Linked DNA regions of Macaca mulatta. The protein of the gene in region 3 interacts with the protein of the main gene of each other region in a biochemical or structural test. Links are inferred from orthologs where the notes say so. Each region holds a gene or a part of one and is shown on either strand. Other genes may lie near its edges.

Region 1 (3,749 bases), on a different chromosome or scaffold from region 3:
CACCTGAGGTCAAGAGTTCAAGACCAGCCTGGCCAACATGGTGAAACCTCGTCTCTACTAGAAATACAAAAATTAGCTGGGTGTGGTGGCAGGTGCCTATAATCCCGGGTACTTGGGAGGCTGAGGCAGGAGAATCACTTGAATTTAGGGGGCAGAGGTTGCAGTGAGCTGAGATCATGCCATTGTACTCCAGCCTAGGCAACAGAGCAGAAACTCCGTCTCAAAAAATAATAACAATAATTACAAGTTCTGAGAAATGATATAAAGCAAGATACATGGAATGATAAGACTTAAGATTAAGACTTGGGGTAGAGGACAGATAACATCAAGAAGGCTTCTCTGAGAAGATATCACTTAAGTTGAAAACTGCAGAAGGAGATGACTGGTAGATGGTGGTGCTGGAACAATTCAGGCAAACAGCATCCCTAAAGGCCTTGAATTGTAAAATAACTTGATGTGACTAGGGAAATTAAAATCAATGTGGCTAGAGTTTAGTGAAGGAGAGGAGGAAGGTAAAGTTAGTGAAGCAGGCAAGAACTAGGTTATGCAGTCTTGTGAACCACAGTAAGGATTCCGAATTTTATCCTAAATGTAACAAGCACTTAGCAGGGGGAAATCCACCAAAAGGTTTTAAGCAAATAAATACGTTACTACTGAATGGATAAGTCATATATGGTTGGTTTGGGTTTTGGGAAAGTGACTAAGAGCAAGAACAGAAGAAAATAAGGGAACCAAATAGAAGAGTATTGAAGTTGATCAGCTTATAACAATTACAATAACAATTAATGCTTACTGGCCATTTACTCTGTGCCAAGTGCTTATCATGGTTATCTCATTTAATCCTCATAACAATCCAATAGGCTGAAAATTACTATTTCCATTTTACAGATGATAATACCGGAAGCCAAGGCAATCAAGTCCAGGTGAAAAAGGACTGTGGCTTAAACTAGAAGAGTGATAGTGAAAATGTACAGAAAAAGATGCAAGACATATATTGGAAGTAGAATAGATAGAACTTGGAAAGTAGAAGTCAAGAATGCCTCCCAAGTGTGTAGCCTGTGTCATATGCCACTTAATAAAATGGGACACTGGAGAAAAAAGAATTTGGATACGGAGAGAAAGATCAAGGCTTTGGATTTGTCTGTGTTGCATCTGAAACTCCTAAGAAAAAAATCAAGTTGAGATGTCAAGCAGACAGCTGGCTATCTAGATGTGGAGCTGAAAACAAAGGGAATAGGCTGGAAATAACAATTTTTAAGGCATCAATATATAGATCAAATTTAAAGCTTAGGGAGGAATACAAGAGTAAAAGAAGAGGACGCAGGACTGAACCCAAATATTCATTTTACTTCATCAAACATCTTTAAAACAAGCGATTACTTTTATATCACTGGGTTTTTCAGTCCTCCTTCCATTTTACCTTTCAGCAGAATGCAACACTACTGATGACTTCTTTCATGGTTTGCAAGACGCATCCTCCTCTATCGGTTATTAAACATCAGGAATCCCTCAATGCTCCATCCTAGGCGCCTTTATTTTATAGCACTATACTCTTTTTAGGCAATTTCATCCACATCCATGGCTTCAATTACTATCAATATGGCAGATGACATACACATAAACAGACCGCACACATTTACGTATCCAGCCCAGAACTCTCCTAAGATCTCCAACCCACTATATCCAACTGCCTGCTTGACATTACCTCTCAGATATCTCTTCCAGTTAGACACTTGTCAGGAATTGCCACCTCAATAAAGGAATTTATACAGAGCTGAAATTTTGAGAGGACTACCCCAAAACCACTTTAGGACAACTCTCCAGGACACAAGACTTTGTCATCAATCATCATTTCCTTTCATGGATCATGACTTAAAATAGTTACATCTAACTACCTGATCTGGCGGCCAGAAATGGGAGCAAGGAAATGCACAACAAAAATACAATTTATGTTTTGCAGTGAGGACTGGTCAAGAGGAAGGTGAAAATGGTCAAGAGAGTGAATGAGTATCATGTCCAAGACCTGATGGATGTGCCGTAACGAAAGTCACCTGAAGAGACAGCAGGCCCTGTTAGAAGGTAAGTGGCGGACAACAGCCCCAGAGAAAAGGGGGCAGGTTTGAGTTTCGGAGGGAGAGAGTGGCAGTGGAGACCAAGTCAAACGAGAGGGGAAAGCCGGGGCAATGCACCCAAAGGTAGTACCTGTGAGGCTGGGGGTGCGTCGAGGGGTTGTGGGCGGGCTCAGTAGCAGCAGGGCGAACTCCAGAAGAGTGAACGCCGAGTGGGCGGATCGCACAGAGGGAGGGGGTGCTAGGGAAAACGGCTCAATTGAGAAGCTACCCCGGCCCGCCTTACCTGCGCCGAAGGTCCGGAGCCCCCAGACAGACCCGCGGAAAGCACGGAGCCCGCGCGGAGAAGGAGGAGCCGGGGGTAATGGAAGTAGGGATACCAAACCCAAAGGAGGGAGGCCGCTAGCTACCCCTAGTCAGGGAGAGCGGCTGATGGCGGGAACTGTGACCACACGCAAACACGCACGCACGCACGCACATTCTACGCGACCAGACAGGCGCGTGCGCGCCAGCCAAAAACTCCGCCCCTCACACGCCCTCGCCCCGCCCCCCAGCACCTAGAGCGGCCTAGCCCGGGCAGCCCCGCCCCAGCCGTGACTGTAGTACGCACGCGCACTTTCCGCTTCACCCGATTTCGAACCCCCCCCAACCATTTCCCTCCTACACAGCCCAGTCGGGCATGCGCAATAGTTGTCTTCCCGGGACTGTCCATCCTTTCCCGCCGTTCACTGGCCTTTGGAGGAGGGTCAGAGTTCATGCCGCTCTCTGGAAAAATCTGCTGAAAGCCAGGAGTTGCGGGGACTAGTGGTCGTGGACGTCCTTCCGATCCTAAATCTTAAGGGGCAAAGGCCATACTCTGGGACTGTTAACTAGGCCGAGGGCCTGGAGGCGGGAAGAGGATGTGTGGGTGGGGTCAGGGGTGAGAGGTCAGAGGGCCGCGAAGGGGGCGGAGCGAGCCGGAGGCGGATGGCGGCTACGGCGGCTCATTATTTTCCGCGGCAGGGGTGCTGAAGCGGGGACGCGGGTCAGACGCGTCCGGCTGTGGAAGGAGAGCGGCGGCCGCTCACAACATGCACAGCCTGGCGACGGCTGCGGTGAGTGGCTGGGTCCCCAGGCCTGGAACCAGAATCCTTCCTCAGACCCACGTTTCGGCCTTCTCTCCTAGTTCCCGGTGTCGGGTCCCTAGTCTGATTTTTTCTGTACTCAACCTACGAGGCCCCGATTCCCCTCCTCGGCACGCTTTGGTTGTGGTGGAGCCGGCCTGTATTTCCTCGCCGGACGCATCTCGCGGCCTCCAGCGCGACCCATCGCGTTCTTTGCGGGCGCCAGGGCCTGGTCCCGCGCCCGTAGCAGGCCATTCATTGATTTTTTGAGCTGACCAACAGTTTCAGGGCGCCAGTTGTGTTCTGGGCGCCGGCGTCGATGAGGGGAATTCCATGGTCAATCTGACGCGGCTCGCGCTCTCAGAACTCACCGCGTCGCAGCGGGAAGGAAATGGCTTCTAGTTCAAACCACTTGCTTTACTTATGGAAAACCTGAGGCCCGAAGAAGTGCGTAATTTTTGCATCTGACTTAGGTTCTCTGCGTTTAAAACTTTCCTCGACACATCTCGTTTTACCCGCGTGATTTTTTAACGGAAAAGAAAGTGTAATTCAGCTGTCTGAAGTAATCCTACTTCTC
Region 2 (3,749 bases), on a different chromosome or scaffold from region 3:
TGAATTTCTGATTCTGCTTCAGATTAAGACTGAAGACAAATAATTTTGAAGACGTGCAAATGTATACAAGCGTTAAGTGATAAATAATTGTATCAAATGAGTTACTTTAATGTTATGACATACTCATTGGTTATGACATAGTGAAAGAAAAAATGGTTAGTGTATTTTATACACTGTATTCTATATACTATTTAAAAATAATATAGGAGTCTACTGGAATCTGCGCAAGGATTATGTATTGGGAATCTCTGAGGGGTCTTCTCAGATAAACCTTTTGGAATATTTCAATACACGGACTGTGAGAAGAGAATTGGTCCAATACCAAAACTTGAGCAACTTTTAAAAGTAAGCTTTTCTGGAGCAAAACAATGTTGCTACATTGAAGAAGTGTACTATCTGGCAGGCTCAACTGACACATTCTCAACTCAACAAACGTTTATTAAACACCTTCTATGTAGCAACCACTCATTAAGTAGGAAAATACAGTACATATCTTTAATGCTAAGTAATTTGGTAAAGACAAAAATGCTAAAATAAGTTAGAGGATTTTGTAAGAAGGTGGAAATTAAGAGTGGACTAGTGCAGTGGTTCTCAACTAGGAGGTATTTTGTCCCTCCAGGGGGCATGTAGCAATGTCCTGAGACTTCTAAAATCATGACTGGGGGCTGGGTGTCACTGGCATCTAGTGGATAAAGGCCAGGGATAAGGCTGAACACCCTACATTGCACAGGACAAACCCCTATGACAAAGATATTTATCTGGTCCAAACTGTCAATAACGTTGCTACTGAGAAACCCTTTGCTACAGCAATCAGGAAACGATTCAGGTATAACAAGTTGGATTCTGAGTTGGCCTTAACACATAAGGATATGTTGAAAGAGAAAAGAAAGCGTAAGCACAGGGCAAAAGCATAAAAGCAAGAAGGTGACTGTGTTTGAACTGGGTGGTACAGGTACTAGGAACAGGTTTGACATTAAGAAATTTACCTGAATCCAATGCAAATACGTGTTCACAAAGTCAGTAGAATACAAAGGTGATTGGGTAGTTGCTAGCTAAATTATACAGGACCAAGAAAACTAGACAAAGGTACTGTAAACAGAAGAAACAAGTACTAAGAAGCTGTTTTAAGTACTTCCCCTAGAGATTCATGTACTGAGATGTAAAACTGCTTGAGAGCAGCAACTAGGCCTTGCTCATCACCGTATCTCTTATGTCACTGAGCCACTGTGTCCTGTAGTGTGTGCTAACTGCTTATTAAGTTAAATGCAATTTTCCAATTCATTAAGTATAATCGGTGATCTCCAAGGTTCTGTCCACTGCTAAGATTCAGGACACTCATTTAAGCTGGAAAAAAAAAGGTAGCATCTAGTAAGTGCCTATCACATAAAGGTACTGTAGCAGGCCCTCTACACATATCATTTAACCGCAGAATGGAATGATGTATTTTCCCCTCTTTGAAGACAAGAACACTGGAACTCAAAGAATGTAACTTGCCTATGATTTCACTGTGAGCTGAGAAGTGGCAGAGGTAAGGATGAACCTTTTTTCTAGTCTTATATAAACCTCCAAGTTTCAGTGACATGCTCTAAGGAAGAGTTAAAAAAGCAAAATTCAACATCCATCTTTCATAATTAAAATACACACAGACGTATAAATTAACTTCATAAGGTGGTCCTTATTCACAGTAATCATTACATTCTGCCATAAGGGATTTGGAAATGGTATTTGGCTTTCATTCCGCACTTGTGTGCCAAGGTAGTTCCTACGTGCGTTCATATTAAACCAAAATTCTCTCCCCGGAAACTCAAATTCCCATAATTATTATCTTCAAGCCGGAAAAAAATAAAATAAAATAAAAAATAAACAAAAAGCAAACCTATTGAACTGACATAATCAGTACCTAAAACCAGTGATTCAGAAAACAACAAAAATGTAGCACTTCAAACTCTTTCCAGATTCAACAACTTCTTCCACACTTCTTTACACTTTTTTAAGGGCAGAGACCTAGCCTAAGAGAGACATCCCGAAGGCGCAGGTCCTCAATTCGGTTTCAGCTATTGCCAAGTATTTCATCTTCATCGCTCGCAACATTTTTGAGTCTAACCTTAACCAGAGCTCCCTCCTTCAGTTACCGTTGCAAAAAGATTTTAAAATCCTCTAAGGAACCTTACCTAAAACATTCTGCCAGTTCCAGACGCTCAACATTTATTTGTCTAGGCAAGCACTTTTGGTATAGGGTTTACCATCCTAATCTAGCCGACATACGCCTTAAGCCCTTCGCTGTTCGTCCAGAAGCACAGTCCCTGCACCAGATGCTACACCAGCTGCTCCTCCCAGGCCCTTTACACCAACCCCTTCAGCAGTTCTTTGGCAACCTACAGTCCTAGCTCAAGGCCCATTTCACAGGATGAGTCCCATTTCTTTCAAGAGGATGCGCCAAGTCCTCAACCTCCTCCCAGCTCTGAAGGAGGGAACCTCAGGAAACGGGAAGAGCGAGCTCTTCCTCGGCCCTGGTCCGAGGGTCCTGAATGCAGCAAGGGGCTGGCAGAGTGAGCGTGCAGTCCGGTGAGGAATGGGCAGGGAGCAGCAAAAACACTTACCAACATCCTGATCGAAGGGATTGGTGGCAAAGAGAGGCATCTCCACTGCGTGCCGAGGTGTCCGCGGGGACTCCCCCCTCGACAGCACGGGAGTCAGGGCTCGACGTAGGAAGGAAGACTCCTCAGGCAAAAACAGCAACAGAGACTGACTCTACAGGGTCCGCGACAGCTCCTCCCTCTCACCCAACCCCAGCAACCACCCCAGCAGCGGCGGTGGCGGCGGCAACAGCACTGAGCCGAGAAAGCCCCCGCGCGGAGCTTGTCGGGAATCTGGGCGACCTCGGCACTGCCTGTCCCAAAGGTGCCCCGAGCCTGCCCCATCAGTAAAGGCTGAACAGGTAGTCCCCTCTGCCTGACTCCTCTTTTAATTAGTCACACAGAAGAGTGGGATTAGTTCTTGTGTTTCCTGCTTTTCCCTTAGCTAGGAGTCTCCGGAAGACGGGGTCCTTCAGGCGTGCTGAAGCCTACTAACAACCCCCGGAGTGACTGGGAGACCCAGGAGAAAGAAAACAGGTTGAGTTTGGGTAGAGGCGTGCCCCTTTTTTCCTCTCGCTCTCTCGGTTATCATAACCTTGTATTCCTTCTGGAAGGAAATGCAAATTCTTTTGGATCATATTCTAGGTAAACAGTTTAATTCGCTGCGTGAGGTGACAAATTTGCTCGGATGAAGTCATGGGAGCTGAACGGATTGACCTGAATCCCAAGAGGGGAGTGTTCAGGGCGCGAGGCTCCCTCGGAGAGGCTGAGGTAACGCTGACTCCTTCCCGGGAGTCCCTGAACGCCGGGCTTCGGAATCTGCAGACAGCTCTGCTAGTAGGGCGTTGGCACCTACTGACTAACCGTGCAGTCACTCAGCAGCTGTGATGGTTGGTGACATGTCTTTCACAGCCCAAGATAGCCTCCCTAGACTGAGCAAAAAAAGAAAACAAAAAAACTGCAGCTAGAAGTTGATCAGTGAGTGATTCCTAGCAACCCAAAATGTTGATTTAATTATTTTACTTTTGAGTTTAATTAACCAATAAAAATTATTCTCTGTGTCATGGAGAAGTTTTAAGGAGGATCCACTAGAGATTTTGCATACCACTTGGAACAAACTTAGTAAGCTCATCTTGTACGTAAATTGAAATTATGGAAATTATCCCCCAAATT
Region 3 (3,518 bases):
AACCAATTCCTTTTCTACACCTTGGTGGCTATGCCTTTTAATCCTTTACCTACCACATCCTCTTAAAATTTGATCCCATGACTGTCTACGCAGCTCAATGCGCATTTATACAGACCTATGTACTTGAAGCATCCTTTCATAGTTACCCTCCCACCACTCCCACCTTTTAAAATTCCTTCTTCCTGGTGTTCCGGTAATTCTCCCATTCTCTTACCTCACACATCACCCACAAACCAGTATTTTTAAAGTTAACTTAAGAGTTAAATCTACATATGTAAAATACTTCCATCTCCCAACAACTTTTTTGTCTTGCTGTTCCCCCAGCGGGAGGACAGTGGCACTCAGATCACAGCAACCTCCGCTTAATTGGTTCAAGGGATTCTCCTTCACCCTCCCATGTAGCTGGAATCACAGACACTCACACCTGCCTTTTTGTATTTGCAGTAGACATAGGGTTTCACCACATTGGCCAATCTGGTCTTGAAGCCGGCTTTTATTTGCACCCACCTTCTACAGTTCGTACTATATTAAGGTCAACCCCTTCACTGACATTTCACTGTTACCACAGCAACATTTGTAAACTGAAAACCTTGATCCCCTTCACCCAGTCTAATGCAAAATAACCTTAACTTTTAAAAAACCACACCAGTTGGGAATGCAACAACTTTATTGAAAGAAAAGTGCAATGAAATTTGTTGAAACCTTAAAAGGGGAAACTTAGACACCCCCCCTCAAGCGCAGGACCAAGTGCAGAGTGGACTCTTTCTGGATGTTGTAGTCAGACAGGGTGCGTCCATCTTCCAGCTGTTTCCCAGCAAAGATCAACCTCTGCTGGTCAGGAGGGATGCCTTCCTTGTCCTGGATCTTTGCCTTGACATTCTCAATGGTGTCGCTGGGCTCCACCTCAAGGGTGATGGTCTTGCCAGTGAGGGTCTTCACGAAGATCTGCATCCCACCTCTGAGGCGGAGCACCAGGTGCAGGGTGGACTCTTTCTGGATGTTGTAGTCAGACAGGGTGCGCCCATCTTCCAGCTGTTTCCCAGCAAAGATCAACCTCTGCTGGTCAGGAGGGATGCCTTCCTTGTCCTGGATCTTTGCCTTGACATTCTCAATGGTGTCGCTGGGCTCCACCTCAAGGGTGATGGTCTTGCCAGTGAGGGTCTTCACGAAGATCTGCATCCCACCTCTGAGGCGGAGCACCAGGTGCAGGGTGGACTCTTTCTGGATGTTGTAGTCAGACAGGGTGCGTCCATCTTCCAGCTGTTTCCCAGCAAAGATCAACCTCTGCTGGTCAGGAGGGATGCCTTCCTTATCCTGGATCTTTGCCTTGACATTCTCAATGGTGTCGCTGGGCTCCACCTCGAGGGTGATGGTCTTGCCAGTCAGGGTCTTCACGAAGATCTGCATCCCACCTCTGAGACGGAGCACGAGGTGCAGGGTGGACTCTTTCTGGATGTTGTAGTCAGACAGGGTGCGCCCATCTTCCAGCTGCTTTCCAGCAAAGATCAACCTCTGCTGGTCAGGAGGGATGCCCTCCTTGTCCTGGATCTTTGCCTTGACATTTTCAATAGTGTCACTGGGCTCCACCTCGAGGGTGATGGTCTTGCCAGTCAGGGTCTTCACGAAGATCTGCATCCCACCTCTGAGACGGAGCACGAGGTGCAGGGTGGACTCTTTCTGGATGTTGTAGTCAGACAGGGTGCGCCCATCTTCCAGCTGCTTTCCAGCAAAGATCAACCTCTGCTGGTCAGGAGGGATGCCCTCCTTGTCCTGGATCTTTGCCTTGACATTTTCAATAGTGTCACTGGGCTCCACCTCAAGGGTGATGGTCTTGCCAGTGAGGGTCTTCACGAAGATCTGCATCCCACCTCTGAGACGGAGCACCAGGTGCAGGGTGGACTCTTTCTGGATGTTGTAGTCAGACAGGGTGCGCCCATCTTCCAGCTGCTTTCCGGCAAAGATCAACCTCTGCTGGTCAGGAGGAATGCCTTCCTTGTCCTGGATCTTTGCCTTGACATTCTCGATGGTGTCACTGGGCTCCACCTCGAGGGTGATGGTCTTGCCAGTGAGGGTCTTCACGAAGATCTGCATCCCACCTCTGAGGCGGAGCACCAGGTGCAGGGTAGACTCTTTCTGGATGTTGTAGTCAGACAGGGTGCGTCCATCTTCCAGCTGTTTCCCGGCAAAGATCAACCTCTGCTGGTCAGGAGGGATGCCTTCCTTGTCTTGGATCTTTGCTTTGACGTTCTCGATGGTGTCACTGGGCTCGACCTCGAGGGTGATGGTCTTGCCAGTCAGGGTCTTCACGAAGATCTGCATCCCACCTCTGAGGCGGAGCACGAGGTGCAGGGTGGACTCTTTCTGGATGTTGTAGTCAGACAGGGTGCGCCCATCTTCCAGCTGCTTTCCGGCAAAGATCAGCCTCTGCTGGTCGGGAGGAATGCCTTCCTTATCTTGGATCTTTGCCTTGACATTCTCAATGGTGTCACTGGGCTCAACCTCAAGGGTGATGGTCTTGCCAGTCAGGGTCTTCACGAAGATCTGCATTGTCTAACAAAAGAGCCAAAAACCACCACCATTTAGCAGACAATGTACTAATCTTCCTAATACTTAAACTATATGTTATATTCACCCAAATGATTACAATTTAAAAGATACCTAAGAAACTTCACAAAATACACTCGCCAACCCCGAACGCATAGTTTAAAACTCAGACTTCAGCTACTTAAGAAAATAGGAACATAGAACTGACCAAAGAAACTGACGCCTCACTTATCCCTCCCCTCACCAGAGGTCAGGCCCCTGTCGACTCAGGAGGGCCTACCCTAGGCCCCAACCCTGCGTCCTGCGACGAAGAAAAGCCTACTGCACACCTACCGGCAGGTGGCCCCACCCCACATTATGAGCCAACAGAACGGATGACGTCACGACACTGCGAGGGCGCGCGCTCCTCAAGCTACGGGTGCACTGCCAAGTGGCACCGCCATTAACTGCCGCCCCCGCAACAGACGACAAAGCGAGTTCTCCGGTCAGTGACAGACTTCACATCAAGGTCCCCAAATGGTGCCCCAGCCCACCTCACCAGAATAAGAGCGTTCCCGCATTAGCGAAAACCTCAAGGCCTTGGGTTCTTGCCGCAAACCATGCCCCCCACCTTGTTTCAACAACCTCACAGCCCGCCTCACAACCGTCTTCCATTCAAGAGCCGGGAACAGCCGCCATTTTGCTGCGCTCCCCTCCCACCCGCTGCTCAGGGGCACCTTGCTCGCGGACCCAGACTACAGCCCTCGGCGGCCTCTCATCCCGCGGCGTCGGCCCCCCTCCATCCCACCGAGCGGCCCAGCGGCCACGAAAGCCATGGCCGGCCCAGCAGCCCTCTGCTCACCAAGTGGCGATGACACCGACACACAAACAAGAACTGCGATCCCACTCCCGGCTGCGACGGAACTAGCTGCGCCACACCCGGCGCGTCCTTATATAGTCATCGGCGTTCACCGCCCCAAGGAAATTCCTCCGCA

Evidence for each region.
Region 1: the proteins of UBC (region 3) and USP37 form a complex in vitro, tested with the Homo sapiens proteins (6 studies listed by BioGRID, with this or other methods). The link is inferred for Macaca mulatta from reciprocal best matches to the Homo sapiens genes UBC and USP37.
Region 2: the proteins of UBC (region 3) and STAM form a complex in vitro, tested with the Homo sapiens proteins (13 studies listed by BioGRID and IntAct, with this or other methods). The link is inferred for Macaca mulatta from reciprocal best matches to the Homo sapiens genes UBC and STAM.

Annotation. Positions count from the first base shown.
Region 1 is NC_133417.1:123,803,888-123,807,636, forward strand, and holds the start of USP37 (ubiquitin carboxyl-terminal hydrolase 37), read right to left. Parts: upstream 2,516-3,749; 5' UTR 2,203-2,515; intron 1-2,202. Other genes in the region: CNOT9 (CCR4-NOT transcription complex subunit 9), read left to right, coding at 3,140-3,163. UniProt on the Homo sapiens protein: Deubiquitinase that plays a role in different processes including cell cycle regulation, DNA replication or DNA damage response.
Region 2 is NC_133414.1:19,215,162-19,218,910, reverse strand, and holds the start of STAM (signal transducing adapter molecule 1), read right to left. Parts: upstream 2,748-3,749; 5' UTR 2,641-2,747; coding exon 2,601-2,640; intron 1-2,600. UniProt on the Homo sapiens protein: Involved in intracellular signal transduction mediated by cytokines and growth factors. Upon IL-2 and GM-CSL stimulation, it plays a role in signaling leading to DNA synthesis and MYC induction. May also play a role in T-cell development.
Region 3 is NC_133416.1:132,361,862-132,365,379, forward strand, and holds UBC (polyubiquitin-C), read right to left. Parts: upstream 2,548-3,518; coding exon 718-2,547; 3' UTR 650-717; downstream 1-649.